Bombyx mori: one gene and its partner. The protein of the gene in region 1 binds, or shares a complex with, the protein of each later gene. Links are inferred from orthologs where the notes say so. Each region holds a gene or a part of one and is shown in the gene's direction. Other genes may lie near its edges.

Region 1 (10,969 bases):
ACTCACAAATCTACTGTCGAAATTTCTATACTAACAAAACTTCGTGCATACTCCTTTTCCGAAATCAAGTAATAAATCATAAATTGTATTGTTAGTTAATAAATAAAATCACAAAATCATCAAAAAAATATCATTAATATTCATCTAACATCGTTTTAAAGACTTAATATTAACACTGTCAGTAATCACTGCCTATCGTAATTAAATTTATTTGCCGTGTATTGTTAACTCTCGTATTGTAATGTAATGTTAAATATGTAATAAACGTTCCAGCAACGGTGAACAGTTACCATTAGGTGTAGGAGGCGAATTCGTCTCGTTGTAAATTAAGTGACAACCAAAAAGTTCGTTCTAAGGACTTAGGTTCTAGTTGAATAGGTCTTAATACGCCTTTGCAGTCAAAATGGAGGTCTATCGGATTTTTTATACAATATATGCGTGAAATCGCAATTTGTTGAACATTATTCTTTAAAATAAATTTCATACTTTTATAAAAAGGACTAACAATGTTTGATGTGAGAATATCAAAAAGTGTTTAGCTTAATTGTGAAATTAAATCATGTCCTTTACGATCCAACTCAAAGTCATAGCTTATAAAACAAATCAAACAAGCTTGTTTAATTCAATGATTCTTGCAGTCGCTTAAAATTTATTGGAATAATAATAAAAAACAAAAGCATGTTTGCCAGGTTTTTTGGTCTCAAAATAACAGTGTAATGCGCTCTCTTAAATTTAGCATCGACAAAGCACACAAGCTGAATCTTGAACTCTCGCGAGAACACAAATTGTAAGTAAAATGATTCTGTTACCTGAATGAGCGATACACGTCCGTTCCTCATCGTGTTACCATTAGTTAAGTATTAGTCGATAATAATGTTTTGTACATTTTTATTAATTTAGTTTGTGAAAATATTAAAACAACCAGTTACGAAACTGCCATCAAATGCCTAAGTAGTTTTTTTTTCAATTAATTTTGTTGTATTTTAATTTAGATAAATATAAGTTGACGTCGTTGGTGAAATTATTAGTTAATTGTGATAATATTCAGTGATAGTATGTCGGATCTAGACCGTTCGAAGATACGCGCGTTTCGCGATACGCAACCACGGCCCGTGAGCGCTCGCCTTTATTCGGTCTCACTATGCGAATACTTTGCGACAATTGGGTGTCTTTATTTATTTATTCAATTTTATCTAACTTAATAAAAAAAATTAGTACATAAACAACACCATCAAAACGACGGTGTCAAATCTAAAGTCTGAGGTAAAGATGCCTTTATAGATTTTTAAACGTGTAAAAACAAAAAATCGTAAATTATAAAATGTAATCGCGAATTGTGCATCGTTCTATTAATATTGTGTATGTAAATGATAATTTAAGTAATATTGACACTTATTTTGTTATTAGCATAACGTATTGTTAAGATGAAACTAACGGCAGTGTTAAAAGGGAACTAGATTCGTAAGGATGTTATTGGCGTTGTACAAAGGATAGTATTGTTAGTAAATAAACAATGAAATTGGCGCATTACTGGCGAGTACCTAATTAGATAAATACACGAGGAGCCTCCTGAGGCTAATACGTTTACAATGTAAATATTATTAAAGTTATGCTTCGACCAGAAAAATGGCCACACTCACTTTTCGTTGCTTTTCGCCCGTTCAATTTTTTTTTAAAAAACGTAGCGTTTTAATATTCTATTTTGAAATTTAGTAACAAATTTGACTGACAGAAGCCGTATTATGAGTATTTGATTTGCTTATGTTTGCCGCGTTGTTTTGTGTTTTCTGAATACTATATTACAGTAGATCTCGATGCCACAGAGAATCTTCAAGGTGGTGATCGGTTTTCAAATTAGAAGGGCACGTATTCGTGCATTCGTTCGACACACGACAATAACAACACTGTCAATTAAACAAAACTAATATACATAATTCGGAGTCTATAAAAGAATTCGTTTGAAAGCCGATCCGTAGATAATATCTAACTCGAAAATATTTTGACTGATATAGTAATGTAACAAACATTATAATGTTAATCTATTTATAAGGGTGTAACAAAAACTTAATGCATTTCACAATTTCTTTACAGTCCATAAGAGAAATATATTTCACATTTGTAGGATAAGGTTTGTTGTGTATAAAAAAATAGCGTTTCAATTTCTTTCGGGTAAACGGAAGATTGATATTTGTGTACGTTAGACATTAAATAGTTATGAAGACGAGTGTGAAGCTGTACCAGGTATTTGGAACATTGAGCGATTGTTGTATGTAATTAAGTATCTCACAGATGTTTGAATTCTAAGTATCCACGTAATAATAAATTCTACAAGTTACATTTGAATCAAAACGATCTGTTTACGTTATGAACACGCAAACGTGTTTAGCTTTACTCTTTTATGTGTAACGTATTCATTATAATGTATTGATATACACACTATTATAAAGCAAATTTAAATACAGTCGTTTCACTTTATTAGTTTAACAAATAATAACATCGTAAGTGCCTCAATAACTAGAAACGTATCAAATATTGTTTTGCACGAGAATTCAATGTGGTAGAGAGTGTGCTGTATTTCACATGTTTGGTTGAGCTCGCTCAATTTCAAGACTTATTGCTTTCAGAACGTAGAAATAATTTTAAGTATTATGAATACCATAAGGTTCTATGTTTGTACGTAGCAAATCACATTAGTTGCTGATTGCTGTACTATTCTCGATGGATTAATAAAGGCTGTTTGTTATACGACCAAGTTAAGTGCGTAGTGACTATTGATTGTGAGTTTTGTCTCTCGTTTGTCTCGTTCGAGTGGTGCGCCGGATGTTAGTCAAAAACAGTGTACTGGTTTGCCAAGAGAAGTTACCTACAGTTGTGTTTAGTTAGCAACGCATAACGTGTTTGTACTTTAATTTGTTTTTTAGTTGTACTCTTGGAAATCAATGGTTATTAATTTAAGAAAATAAAATGTATGTCAAATATTGTTGAAAATGTTTTATTTTTTATCCGTCTTTTATAGCGTCAAACGAAAAATCAGTTATTTCCTGGAAACATCGGGGTTAGCTTTGAGAATGTTTGGAGATCACAGTATCGATCAACCCGAATTGTACTAGCGAACATTTCAAGAAATCTTGCAAGTGGACATATTTCAAACCTAACTTTGGACTGTGGGTGCATTATTTTTAGAGCGTGGACTGTATTTTGGTGCTAGAACCGGTCACCATCCTCGTTGAACCCGTCGCTTGCGACGATGGGCTCGACGAGTGAATTAGCCCATAGACACAGCCCACTGAGTTTCTCGTCGGAGCTTCTCAGTGGGTTGCGTTTCCGATCCGGTGGTAGATTCTGCGAAGCACTGCTCTTGCTAGGGCCAGTGTTAGCAACACTTCCGGTTTGATCCCCGTGAGCTCACCTATATGTTAGGATGAAGCTGAAATAGCTTTTCAAGGCTATAGCAAGGATATACCATAGGTAGGAAAAAAGAAAAGAGAAAAAAAAGAGGTGCTAGCTTCAATAAAAACTAGATTCAGAGCGAAGAATTTTTGATGTACAACACGTGCACGTACGACCAGAATTTTATTGTAATTCTCAAATATTAAGTGTATAATCTATGATTGTAACTAAATTAAATGTATGGACTTTTTGGCGGGAACGCGAGGAGTGAAGTTGTGTGATTGGTTTTATTTTCTCTATTTAGTGTTTCTTCAGGTTTCAGTGTGTAATAACGGTGGTTTATTAACTGTTTAATATCTGCGAAAGTGCACAAATGTGGGAAAATGAAACAAAGCCGCTAGACGTAGCAATACGGGATCCTCCAAAAAGTCCACTGAAAAAATCTTAGTAAATGACACCATTTTACTGAGATTATATTTCATCCCATATCATCTCATCTCATTTAATTTAATTTCATTTCATTTCACTCCATATTATCATTTTTCATAAAAATAAGAATATAAATTAAAATAAGACATGACCTAAAGGTCTTAGTTACCAGGTCATAACATCCTATAAAAATTTACCATAGGCTATAGAGCTCAACTATGCGCCAAGCGAAGGCTAAATAAAAATTAAGAAAAAAAAATCTTCTGTCAAAAGGTCCGCCGCCTGCCACATGTCACCACATCGTTTTTATTGTGATTTATAATAAACTATTAAATAAAATACTTTCTAAACATGGTAAATAACACTCTTATACAAAATTTTAATGCCTCCAAAGTTATTGTGTGAAATATCAAACAAATTCAATCACAAACATAGCTATGACTATAAATTAGGTAAATTACTTACTCATGTAATTCCAGAAACCTCTTATGCTGCAAGGGCACCAGCGTGCCATCACACAGATCAAATATAACCGCGAGGGTGACTTGCTCTTCTCCGCCGCTAAAGATTCAAAACCAAATGTTTGGTGGTCACTGAACGGCGAACGTCTTGGCACTTTCAACGGCCACGGTGGTGTAATATGGTGCCTTGACGTCGACTGGCAGTCAATTAATCTCATCACAGGTGGTGGCGACAGTTCCTGCAGGTATTATCCTCAGTATATTATAAACAAATAAAGTGTTGAAAATTGCATTCTTTTTTCATGTTGTTTGCTCAAAGATGAGTAGGCTGTTGATAACACTAAACGATGCACAGGTTATGGGATCTGGAGACAGGCAAGAATATTGCAACACTCAAATCCAACTCTTCTGTAAGAACATGCAACTTCAGCTATAGTGCATATCAAGCTGCTTATACCACTGACAAAGCTATGGGACACCCTTGTGAGGTAATTACATAGTATATACATTTTATTTAAATAGAGAAACATGAATTGAGGATGAGAAAGACTAATGGATATTATGACTGGCAACTTTAACATTAGAAGAAAAGTAAAATTGTATGCAAAGCTAAGCATAAATATTATTATAGTTGTTTCCGTTTCAGAACTTTCATTCTCTATTAAACCACAATGTGAACTTGTCTGCTTCACTTCAAAGTGGTTTATTGAGGGCCATGCCTTAAAAAAAATCTTATTTTTTGTTCTTTAACATATCCGTCAATTAATGATTACAACTTAGTATTCAAGAGTAATTCCTACATACCTTGTATTTCTTTAAACTAAGATTTGTTGACAGTACAAGTGTCATTTATGCTGACATTTCACTTTGTTTTTTTTTATTATGCTCCAGACATTTAAAATTTATTATTACCGAAAGGCTCACTTGTAAATTTAATACCCTTTAACTTAAATCACAAAATATTTTGAGCAGGAAATACCCTTTTTCAAACTGAACTGAAACTTTGGAGTCGGTTAAATTATAGTGTGCTTAGGTAGACAATATCAACTCTTGGGAATCTCTATTTTAACCCTTAATGTGTTTCCTATATACATATACAGTAAGTTTTTACTAACTAGTATTATAATTTTGTATATCCTGTGATAACAATTAAGATATAAAGTATTATGTCAATTTACAGGTGTTCGTTATTGATACAAGAACAATTGATGAAACAGTGTCAGGTCAAGCTCCTATTTTAAAATGGGAAATCACAGATTCAAAGGTTACTTCAATGATTTGGGGTTCTTTAGATGAGACAATTATCACTGGTCATGAAGCTGGTGACCTTATACAATGGGATCTGAGGGTATGCAAATAATTATTCAATAGACTAAGTAAATTCAAATATTATCTACTTTCTCCATGCAAAAAAATTATCTTTCATAGAAATTATTCTGTTTATTTTTAAATAGTGCTAATGATATCTAATTATTTTTCAGACTGGTAAAAAAATCCACTCTGTTAAAGAGCATACCCACCAAATCACCGATATGCAACTTTCTCGTGACGGCACAATGTTTGTAACTGCTTCCAAGGATCATACTGCTAAGTTATTTGACACTAACTCATTAGAACTTCTTAAAGAATACAAGACAGAGAGACCTGTAAATTCTGCTGCTCTCAGTCCAATCCTTGATCATGTTGTACTTGGTGGTGGTCAAGATGCTATGGAAGTGACAACCACATCAACCAGACAGGGTAAATTCGATGCTCGTTTCTTCCACTTAGTATTTGAAGAGGAGTTTGGCCGAGTGAAAGGTCACTTTGGTCCTATCAACAGTTTGGCTTTCCATCCAGATGGAAAGTCCTATGCTTCCGGAGGTGAAGATGGTTATGTTCGTGTTCATAACTTTGATCAATCTTACTTTGACTACACTTTCGATTACAATAGGGAGTAGTTAATTTGCAATACTCTAGTGTTTCATAAAATTATAAGAAAATAAAGCCTCATTAAAGTTTTTTGTATATCATTTATTTAAATGCATGCCACTTTATCAATCTACATATATAATAAAACAATTAATTCAGTACGTCTATACATTTAGGAAATTTTATATAAGTAGAAAAATAATAATTAAAGAACAGTAATAGAACATAAACTGGACATTTTTAGAATTGGTCACCATTTGTCTGTTCACCCACATTTGTCACATATTTCTGAATCTATTGAAAGGATTTTCACTGCATATATATTGAAACATTGTATGGAAATAGTTTAACCTTTAAAAAACTGGGATGCCTTTCATTCCACTGCTGAGCATGGATCTCTTCCACCCATGTGATATGTAATGCAGCAGAAAGCTAGTTTGTAATATATTCTGTTAATCCCATTATTCATTTTCAACAGACTATTTCATGATGGTACATATTTAATAATAAAAGGTAAAATTAAATATATAAATATAAAAAACGAAGGTATAAATAATGAAGATTTAAAAAAATTATAGTAATATGTCAAAAAGAACAGATCTCATAATAAAGAACATAAAAGTGGGTCAATAAACAAAAAAATTGTAATAGATGCAACATTTATTAATACAAAACTTTACACTTATGGAATACTTTGATCACATAATCTCAGCTCAAAGGAAATATGGAGTAGTATGCTGTGGAGGAACTTCTCGTTCGGTGTCAGGCACTGCTTGGAATAACCTTGCTGTTCTATCATGAACAGTGTTGAATTCCAAGATTGAGGCAACATTACCACATCGGTAACAGTAGTTAGGCGCCGACCAGACTGTTACTAATCTTTTGTCAAACATGTATTTATAACCTGCAGAAAAGTATTAGGTTAAATAGAATCTTAAAATGTGTGAAGATATTACATTTACCCAACAAAGCTATATACCTGATTACATTAAAAAAACATTATTACAATATTGAGTTTTTATTTTTTCTAGCATAATGAAATGAATTCCTGGCGCATCTGGCATTTGGTGGTTACTGGATCTCATAGATATGTGACTATTGCTACCCATCTTGAGACATGAGGTCCAAGTTTTCATTACATAGTAATTTCAATTACATTTTTGAAATTCTAGTTTTTGTAGATTTGATTTTTATTACCCAGTATTAATCCTTCATTGCGAAAATTATTTGTAAGCATGAGTTACTATATATTTGGCTGATAAGTCTGCAGATTTAAACATTGGCATAGTTGGATTGGCACGAGTAGACTTCAGTGCTTGATATTTAATTCAAACTAGCAATTTAAAAAGAGTGGCACTACTGCTAATTCAATGATGGTGAGCCTTCGGATTGTGTAGTCTGTAGTTCGAATGTAAACTCATCTTATGACATGACCTGACGTGAGAAGATTTACGAGATATTATAATATTTCTGATGGATTTGTGATGTTTTGAGAGTTTATCTTATGGTAGTGGAATGGTTTTCTTATGTACACTAAGTTTTAATTTGAACACTTAATAAAATAAAACACTAAAAATACACACCATCATTCACTAATTGATGTGCCCTGCATATAAGAGTTAAATCATTGTAATTCATGAAGAGTTCTGTAACCTGACAGCCAAACAACCATCCAGCTCCACGAGGACTTACTGACCTGTACATTAAAAAAAATGTATTATTACATGTTTTTTTTTATAATCATTTGGATCTGGGTTCTCCACAATTAAAACACTAAATCTTATCATGATCATACTGACACTTAGTACACAAAGTGACCTAGTTTGGACCACAAACACTATAAAGTATTAGAAATATTAGAAATAATATACAGTCAAAATCTGTTATAACGACATCGAAGGGACTGCTCATATTCAGTCGTAAAAACCGATAGTCGTAACAACCGGTGATGTTTAATGTGTATCGCGCAAGTACAAATAAATCGATAGGGAATTATTGGAAAAATATATTTACATAATACGCGATTTTTCTTCAATATTAATTTGTTTTCTTTTTTTTTGTGACATTTTTAAAGTTTCATGAATAACTCCACAAAGTTTTGGTGCGTCTTGTGTATAGATAAGTAACAAACTAACTGAAGAAATATGAAGAAGCGGACTTTGACTACCGCATGCACGTGTTTTGTTTCTAAGAATTAGAAAAGACCCTACACTAAACTAAATCCTATTGTTTTCTTTCGTGATTTTAAAAGCCATTGAAGACAAATGTGGATACCTATTCAAATTGTTTACAATACAGCTTAGCCGGTCGTTCTAACAGATCTAATTCTCCGAAATATTAGTTAAATGTGGTCGTTTTATGAGGTATGTCGTAGAAAGCAATATTTTTAATAAGGCGGTCATATGGCATTCAGCCGGGACCTTTGTTCTTGGTTATTATAACCGGCATGTTGTATTAAACGATGTCGCAGTAAACGGTTTTGACTGTAATAATTATACAAAACACAAGATTAAACCGTAAAAGTACTTTTAATTAGTGAGGATGAGTGAAACCAGACAATGTCTTACCCAGAGCCTACATTCTACATCTTTCATATACTCTACATCAGCATTAGCTACATACTCACCACATTTTCACATCAGCAGGATCTGACCACAACAAATCACAGAATGCACCTTTGTGTGGAATTTGTTGATTTCTATCAATGCATCTTATTTGATCAATCATAGATATTTCTGGTGATAGACCACCGTGCACACATAGGACGGTTTCATCAATTAACTGTAAAAGTTGCTGACTTAAATGATTTGTTGTAACATAATCTAATTTAATTTTTTTATTGCTTATATAGATAAAGGAGTTTACGGCCCACCTATTATTAAGTGGTTACTAGTCTGTAAACATGAACAAAAGCCAATCTTATCCCCCACCTCGAGACAAAGTTCTAACTCTGTTTTGCAGTACAATGCCTGCTTCATCTTAGAAATAAGCGCGATAATGATATCTACCTGTGCCGGTTAACAAGATGCCCTACCTAAATTAATTATACAAATTATACTTAGTACATACCTAGTTGGTTCAATTTTTATTACAAATTAGTAATCCTCCATCATGGAAGTCACTTGGACACATGTGTTCAGTACTTATATCATTAGAAAAATTGATACCATCATTTTATTGTTGAAAATGTTATTGACTTCGTTAAAATTGCAAAATTGTCTGAAGTTTTCAGCCATAAAACTATGACAAACATGAACCATAATCCCAATTTATTCTTAAGAAATAAGCTTTATAACTAAAATTTTAAGCTAATTTATATTTTTATTTTAGATAATATTTATTCAATGTCCACTTACTGCAGCAACAGTGAGCAAATCAAAAACTCTGCAACAGTCTTTCCATGCATTTGCATTTCCATATTTATTGAGACATTCATCATAAAATCCATAAACCTTAGTTATTTGACATGTTTCATGATTACCCCTTAATAAGATTATCCTGAATAAGAAGATTTGAATATAAATATTATTAAACAAGATGTTGAAAGGCAATGTGTATCAACGAAATAATATTGACAAAAAAAAACAATATTAATTTTGCATCCATAAATACTTATTATCTGGAGTTACCTTTATTTGTATATTATGAAAAAACTTATTCTGATTAATGGGGAAATTTATTGATTTCATATAACCTCAATCAATATTGATATAATGATAATTGATATTAATAATAATTGATATAATTACGTAACAGCAATATGTATTTTTTCATCCATATCTTTGACTTAATACTTTAAATTTTTTAAAGTACAACTCACCTATCTGGATATCTAGCTTTCAAGGCCATGAGCAAGGTTAGTGTTTCTAAACTATAATATCCTCGATCCACATAATCTCCCATAAATATGTATTTTGTATATGGCACTTGACCACCTATGTGAAAAAGCTCCTCTAAATCATAGAACTGAAAATATTGAAATTACATTTTGAAATATAGTTTTTCTACAGGAGCTCTTAGACATTTCATTACTAAACATTTCATTATTATTATTCTTATACTTATAATTGAATTTACAATTTATTAGTTGCAGTAATTTAGAAAATTAACTGATGGTTTTATCCAACAAACTTTTTTAAATGATTTAAGTTGTAAAGTCACAAGAGAATAAGCTGGTTAGTTTTCCGATGTAATTTTAAATGTTTCAGTTGGATCAGGCAGCTTACCTGTCCATGAATATCACCACAAACCGTCACAGGTGTCTGTACCGGCTGAACATTAGGTTCTTCAAGTAACAAATCACAAACTATATTGCACAGTTCCCGTAGGTCATCTTCCGGGAGGTATTTGCATCTCTTTGCAACTTCTATCCATTTATCTATATCCGTCATTTCTAAAACAAATTAAAATATATTTACGGATAAACGAAGAATGGCCTTTTAACCTTAATTTATATTAAATGCATAAATCCGAACTAGAGGTAAATGAATTGCCTTAGACTGGTTGACAGTGACAGACATGCAAAAGTGGCAGTTCTCTGTTCCGTTTTTCTAATTGGAAAGGCGAAGATGTAACACCATACTGTCTAATCTTTTGTAAATTATGTTTTATGAAAAATGACATGGAGCAAAAGGAAATAACTTGATTAATTTGAGCCGTTAATCAATTAAGAAATGAAACGAGATAATATTATCTCATTTGTAGAGCCTTTAATTAATTCTATATAGAATTAATTAGATATATAGAATTCTATACAGAATTACTTAAAGGCTCTACAA
Region 2 (10,869 bases), on another chromosome or scaffold:
GCTTTTCCCCTAGAGTCACGCGAGATTCGCCAGAGAATGGGCAGCAGTACTCAGCATATTATTATAGTGTACTGATATAGCCTACGAGCATATACTGATAATAGGGGGTATTGGAAATCCTCATGCGTAGTTATCACCGTTTTGGCTACTTCTATCATGAACCTGTTATTAAGTTTTGAAGGTTGGGACAGCTATTCTACAATACAGTTGGGTACTGGTGGTAGGACCTCTTGTGAGTCCGCACGGGTAGGTACCACCACCCTGCCTATTTCTGCCGTGAAGCAGTAATGCGTTTCGGTTTGAAGGGTGGGGCAGCTGTTGTGACTATACTGAGACCTTAGAACTATATCTCAAGGTGTGTGGCGCATTTACGTTGTAGATGTCTATGGGCTCCAGTAACCACTTAACACCAGGTGGGCTGTGAGTTGGTCCACACATCTAAGCAATAAAAAAAAAAAAATTCAACTTCATGTATTAGATAGGTTAGGAATATATTATTATGTAGATATAATATGAACATTGTGATATCTATAGTATCCAGTATCAATAGAGCAGGTGGGCAATGAGATTGTGTACCCATCTATGAAAAAAAGATAAAATGTAACACTTTTAATTTTAAAGATTTATGAAGTTGTAAATTAATATATTTCAGTTCTTATTTCTTGTATTAATTAATAAGAATGTTAAATACTACATCTATTTGTAAGTAAAAAAAATACAATTTATTGCAAGTAACAACTAGCATTTAGGGAAATTGCATATTAATAAACTATAGCATCAAACTGTTGGTGAACTTGTGTTCTGTGGGCTTTTACTTCTGAAAGGGCGTTATACCAAAGACCACATAGCTCACATTGATGAGCTAAAATACTGATAGACGCTTTTATCATTGGCTCATCGGTTTTAATATCTTGAATGATTTTCAGCATGAAATGTTCAGCTTTATATCTGCAAATATTTTATTAATTTAATTACAGAGTTCCATCTTATTTCATGCACATAATCTTAGTGTGTGATGCTTACAAGCTTTAAGTAGTAAGTCTTCTGGTGGTAGGACCTCTTGTGAATCCGCACGAGTAGGTACCACCGCGCTACCTATTTCTGCCGTGAAGCAGTAATGCGTTTCGGTTTGAAGGGTGGGGCAGCCGTTGTAACTATACTGAGACCTTAGAACTTAGACATAACCACTTAACACCAGGTGGGGTGTGAGCTCGTCCACCCATCTAAGCAATAAAAAAAAGAAAAAAAAAGTAAATCTCCGTAAATCAAACTCAAACTAACGACAGAGTGTCCATTCTTGTTTATGATTCCTTACTAGAATAAGGCTGTAATTCACTCCTTAATAAAAACTTAAGCGCCTAAATAAAGCACAGGTTCGACCTCGCGTAGCCTACCACAACCCAACTTTGATCCGTATGTACTATTTTTCTTTGGCTTCATAAGAGGAGAGAGAAGCGTTCAGAGTGTTTGTTGACTTCTCTTCTTCGAATAGAGGTTGGTTCCCCCTGTGATCTATACCATACTTTATATGCAGCAGATGTCAGTCATCAGTACCATTTCTGAAGTAGAGTACACTCCTACTACCACTACCACTATGTAACTGCCACTACCACTGCGTTTCAAGAGCTTGCCTTGTAAATCCATTTCTAGAAAGAATTCGCTTCCGTGGTGTTTTTTGAAATTTTATATCCTCATCGTCGGATGAGTTTTGAAAAGAGCCCTTAGCAGTAGGCAAAGGTGTACGAGCGACAGTAAGCACTTACCATTGGACCATTACCATTGTATGATATCTGCCTTGAATGGAAATCGAATTGAAGGCACCTATAAGATAAGAAAAATGCGAAGAGAATTTCACCTGTGATTGTAGAGTTGATCGTAATTCTTGAATTTACGGTCGCAAATGTTGCACAACAAAAATTTAGGCAATTCAAAACTGTATATTTTCAACCACGGGCACACCAGCCAATGTTGCTCGTTAGTTTTATATGATTTAAATGTTAAACTACAAGTAGTGCATTCGTAATTGTTTACGACAGAGTGCAATTTGCTATGAGTCAAAAGTCTTGGAATACTTGTAAATACTTTTTCGCAAAACTCGCATTGTAATAGTGACGAGGTTTTAATTTCTCGAATGCCCTCAATATCTTTTGGATTACAACTATCACCAGGATGTTCAATTGCTTGATCTCGACGAGGCCATACTTGAAAACATTGAATGCAAGTCCAAACGATTTGCCAACGCTGTTGTGTCTTGCATTCTGTTGTTAAATGTTGGCAGTTAAAATGTTTTTTTATTCCTGCTTCATGGATATAATTTGACCCACGGTAGTAAGGATGTCTCAAAGATCTCGTGTATATTGTATCTAAAATCTCTTGACTTTTAGTCAAATCCAATGTTCTATTTAATATTTTAATATTTTCCATAATTCGGGCATTATTCTCATTCACTCTATCAAGACTGTACTGTAAGGGGTTGATGTAATCTTTGGGAACGTTATTGATATGTTTTTCAGTAAATTCATTACTATCATTTTGATGTATGATTCGATTGTTATTATTCAAGCGGCAATCAGTGTTAGTGTCTAAATATTCGTTCACTTTATCGGGTTCTAGCAGCTTAGCACTAGATTCTAAATTAAGTAGATCTGATTCAAAGGTGGAAACTATCTTCACAATAAGACATGGTGATTTGGTACTCTTGTTAGTATCAACTGTCCCATCCGCCCATTTTCCAAAATGCACATTTGCTGAATGTTCGTCATCGTCTATTAAAATTTGCAAACTTTTACAGTTTTTCGATTCTTCGTGTTTTCGTATTATTAACTTTGTACATGGCATTTCGATATAAACTTGCATTTAATTTCAAATGTCACCTTTAAGTACATTATGTCATTGAGAAAGAAAATAACATTGTAGACACCAAAGAGAATCTATCATAAATAATAATTAGCAAGGTAAACAACGAATATATTGTTTTCAGAATTATTTGTCGGTTCTTTGGGGTAAATTGGCTAGCGAAATTTTGGTACAAAATTGGGATGGCGCGCTCGATGATCTAACCAAACTTCGAGAGTTCATCGATAACGGTGGAGCCGGTTCCACTGCCAGCAACATGCAAGCCCTACAGCAACGGACCTGGCTGGTTCACTGGTCGCTATTCGTGTTCTTCAATCATGTCAAAGGACGTGATTTGATCATCGAAATGTTCCTGTATAAGCCTTTGTAAGTTTTACATTTTGGAATGTTTATCTTCAGATTTTATGAAAAATTTCGAGTCTCTAATATGGCAACATAATAGGCAATGAAAAGAATAATTATCAATTAAAAATATGTTGTTACATTAACTTAGTTATATGTATATTCTACATTCCAAAGCCCGAGTGGTAATGAAACCAAAGGCGATCCAATTGCAAAAGAGACCTTAACTCAGACGGAAAATCTAACCGGGACCCGAGGTACTGAAATAATGGTCACTAACCGCGACCCCAACCGAATCAGTTATATTATTTTAAAAGGTATCATAATATGTATTATCGTATTACAGGTACTTGAACGCCATCCAGACGATGTGTCCCCACATCCTCCGCTACTTGGCTACTGCAGTAATCATAAACAGGTCTCGCAGAAATGCCTTGAAGGACCTTGTGAAAGTTATTCAACAAGAAGCTTACACCTATAGGTGCTTTAAATTTTTTTTTAAGATATATGATGACACTTTTTTATGTTTGTGTTTATCGCAAATACGAAATAAAAATATATATTATTTTTCAGAGATCCTATCACAGAGTTCATTGAACATCTTTACGTTAATTTTGACTTTGAAGCGGCCCGTCGAAAATTGAATCAATGCCAAGCTGTACTTTTGACTGACTTTTTCTTAATCGCCTGTTTGGAAGAGTTTGTCGAAAATGCTCGACTGATGATCTTTGAAACTTTCTGCCGTATTCATCAAGTCATTAGTATTGGGTAAGTGTGAACGTTTACTCTGTTAACGTTTTTATGTACACTAACTAGTGTTCGCACACTGGTTAAGATATGACCATAATCACTGACACATTCATATTTAGATGCAGTTGGTGTCGTGTGCACGTGGAAATAAAAGTGGTTCTATTTTTATATTACAAGCACTGAAGCTCAATATTAATAAGTTAGGTGTATATTTGCAATTTCATTGAGGTAAATAAATTAGAATTGTAATTACGTAAATTGGAAAAGGCCTACATTCAGTCAAAAAAGTATCGGGAATTGTATTTGGTTTCAAACTGAACGCTACTTCTACAAGCGGCGCGCCACGAAACCCTCTTATCGTGGCCGCCGTTAATTATTTATCCGACTGCGACAGAGCAACGGAAAACCGCCGTCGCCCGAAACATGTCTTGTCGGATCCCCCGGATTCACTCTCGGTGCTTTTAGGACCCTCAAGCACCGGTCACTGTGCTCGTTAAACTTGTCTATTACGACGAAGAGTACGAGCGAACTAACCCATAGACACCATCCACCGAGTTTCTCGCCCGATCTTCTCAGTGGTTCGCGATTCCGATCCGGTGGTAGATTCTGAGAAGCACTGCTCTACTGCTAACTAGTGTTAGCAAATTCTCGTAGGTTGAGCCCGCGAGCTCACCTATCTGTCCGGGCGTAGTTGGAATAGCCTCTTAGGCCACCAGCGAAAAGGGAAAAGGAAAAAAAGTTCCAAACTCCCTACTTTTTTTTATAAGATTGGCACAACTGTTTTCGATTTTGGCGCGGAGTTTGAGTAGCATAATATGCTACCTACATAATTTAATCTACTATACTTAGTGGATATACTATACAGTGCTGTTTTTAATTATATCCAGTGAGTATTGCGAATTTCATTATGAACAAAAGCATCGAACAAAGAGTTTGTCTTAAATTTTGCATCGCCAATCAAATTTCATTTTCGGAGTCACTGAAAATGTTACCTCTCGAAAGCTTATGGTAAATCAACTTTGTCCAAAACGCGTGCATAAGAATGATAAAAATTGTTCAAAATCGGTGGAGTTGTGATGGAAGATTTGCCTCACTCGGGTAGACCAGGAACCGTCATGATAATCGCCTTATCGTTGCCGCCGCTGATTACTCCCCGAATCCTGATCACGCAGGAGCCAGTCACCGTCGACGTTCTAGACACGTCCTTACGGATCCATCAGATCCAATAACCTTTACATTAGACGCCTTCAGCTTTAACACTAGGAGCAGGCTTAGGGACCTCGGTAACCGTACTCGTCGAACTCGACAAAGAGTTCGCCGTGCAACCTAACCCATGAATCAGCTCGCTGAGTTTCTAGCCGGATCTTCTCAGCGGGTCGCGATTCCGATCCGGTAGTAGATTCATTCGCGAAGCAGCTACTCTTGAGCTGTTAGGTCTCCTTCGGAGGCGCTCGGGTAGCTGTTAGTAAATCCCACCCCTCCTGGCTGAGCCTTTGCTCGCCCACCTGTCCTGGTGAAACTGGAAAGGCCTCCGGGCCACCAGTAATCCTTCAATCATAAAAAAAATGACCAGGAACGTCAGCAATTGAAGTTAACATCGCAAAAGTGAAGGAAATAATGACCAGAGCATCCTCATTCAAGTTTGAGAGATATAGCCGCCAAACTTTCTGTGTCTCACTAGTCGATGCGTACCCAGATGTAAGATTTGTGGATAGAAAATTCTTGGATTTTGCATCACAATACTGCGCCTTCGGACAAGGCCATCATTGTGAACGAAATTTTGACCAAAAACTCAACAAATGCTTGAAGCAACCACCTTATCCACCAGATATGGCCTAGCACTTTCTTTTTCCTAAACTCAAATATTTTTATGATTAGATTATTCGTTGGCGTAAGTGTATCGTTTCTAAAAGAGCATACTTTGAAGATGATACAATAAATTTGGACGAATAATTAACATTTTGTGTATTTTTGATCTTTTCCTGGTACTTTCTTGACAGGGTAGTATGTCCGGCGGTGGACGGCTGTGGGCTGAAAATTATTTTGATATAATGTATCAATGTGATGAGAGAAAGTTTAAATTTTTTTACAGAATGTTAGCCGAGAACTTAAACATGCAGCCTGATGAAGCGGAATGCTGGATCGTGAACTTAATCCGTAATGCGCGCCTGGACGCGAAGATCGATTCCAAGTTAGGTCACGTGGTGATGGGTGCACAACCTCTTTCGCCATATCAACAATTAGTTGAGAGAATCGATTCACTGGCAGTGAGATCCGAAGCTCTGACTTCATTAGTGGAAAGGAAACATAAAGCACGCAATCAAGATGTGAGTAAAAAAAATTATGTTATAATTAAAATATTCCTGATGTATTGGAACCTTATGCCCTATGGTGGTATTTATCCGTGCAACCATAAAATACTCTCCCATGCGGTGTCTATTTTTACCGTGAAGCAGTCATGCTCTTCAGCTTAATTGGTGGGACAGCAGTAGTACTATACAATTCAGATTCAAATCTCTGTTTTATGGTGGGTGGAGGTCTTCACATGTTGATACCTATGGGTCGCCAGTAACCACTCAACGCTAGGTGAGCCGTGGCCTCATTCTCATATTTGAATATGTTAAAAACACGAATTAAAATTAAAAAAAGCCATTCGCAAAAAATAATGTCAATAGGTAGTACATAGTTTCAATTAATCACGCAATAAATAAATATTATTGCTGTTTTTATTGCATTCATTGATGTGGGATGAGAAAACATGTGGGCACTTACAATTTTTCCTTACGTTGTGGCTTCACTATATTTGTACTTATTTATGAATATGATAAAATACTTACTAAGTGTGTGTATGCTTAGTAATTAATTTAAGGTTTATCATTTATTCCACTTTCAGCTTCGGGAACAGTTATAATACAACTACATGTTGCTGTTCCTTTTAAAGTGTTGAAAAATATAATTTTTGATCTTTATTTTTCAGATACGTTGGGGTGCTCAAGAGTTTTAATTGAAAAAACGCTACTTGAAGCTTTTTTACTTCAAGATAATGACATAATTAAAACAAATTAAACAGATTTGTATAGTTTTAGTGTATTATTTGAAATAAACCATTATGTTTCATTCACTTTATAAGTCTCCTGATGATAAGTGATCACATTCAGTTTAAGATTCTTCAACAATAGGCAGTATCTTGTCTGTGTCTTTGACATTGATGGTATCTCTATATCATAATGGATATCCATAAGTAGTGGTGACCATTCATCATATTTCCTCAGTCATATATTCACCATATATTTTCCTCTGGTGATCCTGACGTCTGTGCGGACCGACTTAAAAACGTGGTGCTTCGGGGGATGGAACTGTTCATTCCTTCTTCCGAGGTGCCCGTCGGGGGTCGCAGTGGACCCTGGTATAACAATGCCAGTCGGGACGCTGCACGCCTCAAGCGGTCCGCATACGCGGCATGGAATGATGCCAGGAGACGCCAGGATCCTAATATCTCTGAGGAAAGGCGGAAATTTAACGCCGCTTCTAGGTCCTATAAGAGGGCTATTGCCAGGGCGAAGTCGGAGCACGTTGCCAGAATTGGCGAGCGACTGAAGAGCTATCCCGCCAGGAGCCGTGCTTTCTGGTCGCTCGCTAAGGCTGCAGAAGGTAACTTCTGCAGGTCTAGTCTCCCACCACTACGCAAGTCCGATGACAGTCTGGCCCATAGTGCGAAAGAGAAGGCTGACCTTCTGGTCAAACTCTTCGCCTCGAACTCGACTGTGGACGACGGGGGTGCCACACCACCGAACATCCCCCGGTGTGACAGTTCCATGCCGGAGATCTGCTTTACACAGTGAGCAGTCAGGCGGGAACTCCGACTCCTGGACGTCCATAAGTCGAGTGGGCCGGACGGCATCCCTGCTGTGGTTCTGAAAAGGTGCGCCCCTGAGCTGACGCCTGCGCTAACGCGTTTGTATCGCCTCTCTTATTGCACTAACAGGGTTCCGTCTTCATGGAAGAACGCCCACGTCCACCCTATCCCCAAGAAGGGTGACCGGTCGGACCCATCGAGCTATAGGCCTATCGCGATAACTTCCTTGCTTTCCAAGGTGATGGAGCGAATTATAAATATACAACTCCTGAAGTATCTTGAAGATCGCCAGCTGATCAGTGACCGACAGTACGGTTTCCGTCACGGTCGCTCAGCTGGCGATCTTCTTGTATACCTTACTCACAGGTGGGCTGAAGCCTTGGAGAGCAAGGGCGAGGCTCTTGCTGTGAGCCTTGATATCGCGAAGGCCTTCGACAGGGTCTGGCATAGGGCACTTCTGTCGAAGCTACCATCTTACGGAATCCCCGAGGGTCTCTGCAAGTGGATCGCTAGCTTTTTGGATGGGCGGAGCATCACGGTCGTTGTAGACGGTGACTGTTCTGATACCATGACCATTAACGCTGGCGTTCCACAAGGTTCGGTGCTCTCCCCCACGCTTTTCATCCTGTAGATCAATGACATGCTGTTTATTGATGGCATGCATTGCTATGCGGATGACAGCACGGGGGATGCGCGATATATCGGCCATCAGAGTCTCTCTCGGAGCGTGGTGCAAGAGAGACGATCAAAACTTGTGTCTGAAGTGGAGAACTCTCTGGGGCGAGTCTCCGAATGGGGTGAATTGAACTTGGTTCAATTCAACCCGATAACGACACAAGTTTGCGCGTTCACTGCGAAGAAGGACCCCTTTGTCATGGCGCCGCAATTCCAAGGAGTATCCCTGCAACCTTCCGAGAGTATTGGGATACTTGGGGTCGACATTTCGAGCGATGTCCAGTTTCGGAGTAATTTGTAAGGCAAAGCCAAGTTGGCGTCCAAAATGCTGGGAGTCCTCAACAGAGCGAAGCGGTACTTCACGCCTGGACAAAGGCTTCTGCTTTATAAAACACAAGTCCGGCCTCGCGTGGAGTACTGCTCCCATCTCTGGGCTGGGCTCCCAAATACCAGCTTCTTCCATTTGACTCCATACAGAGGAGGGCCGTTCGGATTGTCGATAATCCCATTCTCACGGATCGTTTGGAACCTCTGGGTCTGCGGAGGGACTTCGGTTTCCTCTGTTTTTTGTACCGTATGTTCCATGGGGAGTGCTCTGAGGAATTGTTCGAGATGATACCGGCATCTCGTTTTTACCATCGCACCGCCCGCCACCGGAGTAGAGTTCATCCGTACTACCTGGAGCCACTGCGGTCATCCACAGTGCGTTTCCAGAGAGCTTTTTTGCCACGTACCGTATCCGGCTATGGAATGAGCTCCCCTCCACGGTGTTTCCCGAGCGCTATGACATGTCCTTCTTCAAACGAGGCTTGTGGAGAGTATTAAGCGGTAGGCAGCGGCTTGGCTCTGCCCCTGGCATTGCTGAAGTCCATGGGCGACGGTAACCACTCACCATCAGGTGGGCCGTATGATCGTCTGCCTACAAGGGCAACAAAAAAAAAAAATTGGTTCACCTTTCAGTGGGCCATATTCCCTTAGAAATAAAGTGACACTCTACAAAACTTGCATACGCCCCGTCATGACCTATGCAAGTGTAGTGTTCGCTCACACGGCCCGCACTCACTTAAAATCCTTCCAAATTATTCAATCCCGTTTTTGCAGGATAGCCGTCGGAACCCCGTGGTTCGTCAGGAACGTCGACCTCCATGACGACCTGGACTTAGAGTCCATCAGTAAGTATCTTCAGTCGGCGTCGATGCGCCACTTCGATAAAGCGGCACGACACGAGAACCCTCTCATCGTGGCCGCCGGTAACTACATTCCCGATCCTGCGGACAGAATGGAAAGCAGTCGACGTCGCCCAAAACACGTCATCTCGGATCCTCCCGATCCACTAACGGTGCTTTTAGGTACTTCAAGCACCGGTCACCGTTCTCGTCGAACCCGTCACTTGCGACGAAGGGCTCTACGAGTAAATTAACTCTCAGACACAGCCCACTGAGGTTCTCGCCGGATCTCCTCAGTGGGTCGCGTTTCCGATCCGGTGGTAGATTCTGCGAAGCACGACTCTTGCTAGGGTTCGTGTTAGCAACGTCATCAGGTTTGAGCCCCGTGAGCTCACCTACAAACGTTAGGGTTACACTGAAATAGCCCCTAAGGCTATAAGCTTAGGTAGGAAAAAAAAAGGGCCATATTAATATCACCTTCAGCCTTCAAATGCAATACAAAACAAGTAGGTAATACATACAATGATATAATTTTAAAATTCCCTTTTCATTATATAGGGACAGGATTAATAGAGTGAAATTTTTTAATAAATCATTATACTTTAATTTAAAGGTTACAATCTATTCTACAGGTTTTATGGTAATGAACCTGGACAAAACAAAGGCAACTAAAATTGTAGACAACACAAAAAACGTAACAAAAACATAAAATGTGTCTTCTGAGAATACATCAGTAAATGCTGGTATTTGACGATATATTTCTTCAATGACATCTAGGTTTCCTTTAGGTTTTGCCATCTCTGCTTTTATTTTGTTTTTGTCTTCTTTTTATCTGACTTAGTTTGTAGTGTAGTTGGTGGTAGTTCTACAGGTGCTAAAGAAGAAATGTGCTTATTCAATAATTGGAGAATTTCAAGACAAGTAAGATTCTCACTTCTTAAAGTCACTTTCTGTATTTTTGCAGTTGCTGAAACAAAATAAATATAAAATAAAATAATAATTAAATAAGTAAATAATTTAGTGTGCAGATACATTTATAGTGTTGATTGCTGGCTTGTGCCATAATATTTTGGAATGTTTCATTGTCATACACATTATTTAACAGATGCACTTAAATTAGAACAATTGTATCTTGAGAATATCAGAAAATTAAAAGATGCAGTATGGTTCCGACACAATTCACTATTGCAGTTACAATTTGCAATTGTATGTGACATGGGTAAA

What was found. Proteins that work in one complex are often made in the same cells at the same time.
Region 2: eIF3i (region 1) and eukaryotic translation initiation factor 3 subunit E share a complex: the UniProt entries of both Homo sapiens proteins name them as parts of the eukaryotic translation initiation factor 3 (eIF-3) complex. The link is inferred for Bombyx mori from reciprocal best matches to the Homo sapiens genes EIF3I and EIF3E.

The regions. Positions count from the first base shown.
Region 1 is NC_085121.1:5,014,443-5,025,411, reverse strand, and holds eIF3i (eukaryotic translation initiation factor 3 subunit I), read left to right. Parts: upstream 1-4,094; 5' UTR 4,095-4,170; coding exon 4,171-4,173; intron 4,174-4,298; coding exon 4,299-4,525; intron 4,526-4,635; coding exon 4,636-4,768; intron 4,769-5,460; coding exon 5,461-5,628; intron 5,629-5,761; coding exon 5,762-6,220; 3' UTR 6,221-6,421; downstream 6,422-10,969. Other genes in the region: serine/threonine protein phosphatase 6, read right to left, coding at 6,905-7,095, 7,775-7,887, 8,818-8,972, 9,548-9,689, 10,012-10,157, 10,418-10,582. UniProt on the Homo sapiens protein: Component of the eukaryotic translation initiation factor 3 (eIF-3) complex, which is required for several steps in the initiation of protein synthesis.
Region 2 is NC_085111.1:12,352,712-12,363,580, reverse strand, and holds the end of eukaryotic translation initiation factor 3 subunit E, read left to right. Parts: intron 1-622; exon of another isoform or gene 623-761; coding exon of another isoform or gene 762-948; intron 949-1,855; coding exon of another isoform or gene 1,856-2,856; exon of another isoform or gene 2,857-2,949; intron 2,950-2,980; coding exon 2,981-3,222; intron 3,223-3,544; coding exon 3,545-3,679; intron 3,680-3,771; coding exon 3,772-3,966; intron 3,967-6,040; coding exon 6,041-6,275; coding exon of another isoform or gene 6,276-6,422; exon of another isoform or gene 6,423-6,597; intron 6,598-6,925; coding exon 6,926-6,952; 3' UTR 6,953-7,026; downstream 7,027-10,869. Other genes in the region: zinc finger protein 280B, read right to left, coding at 762-948, 1,856-2,856; uncharacterized protein LOC134198937, read right to left, coding at 10,267-10,443; large ribosomal subunit protein mL53, read right to left, coding at 10,452-10,612. UniProt on the Homo sapiens protein: Component of the eukaryotic translation initiation factor 3 (eIF-3) complex, which is required for several steps in the initiation of protein synthesis.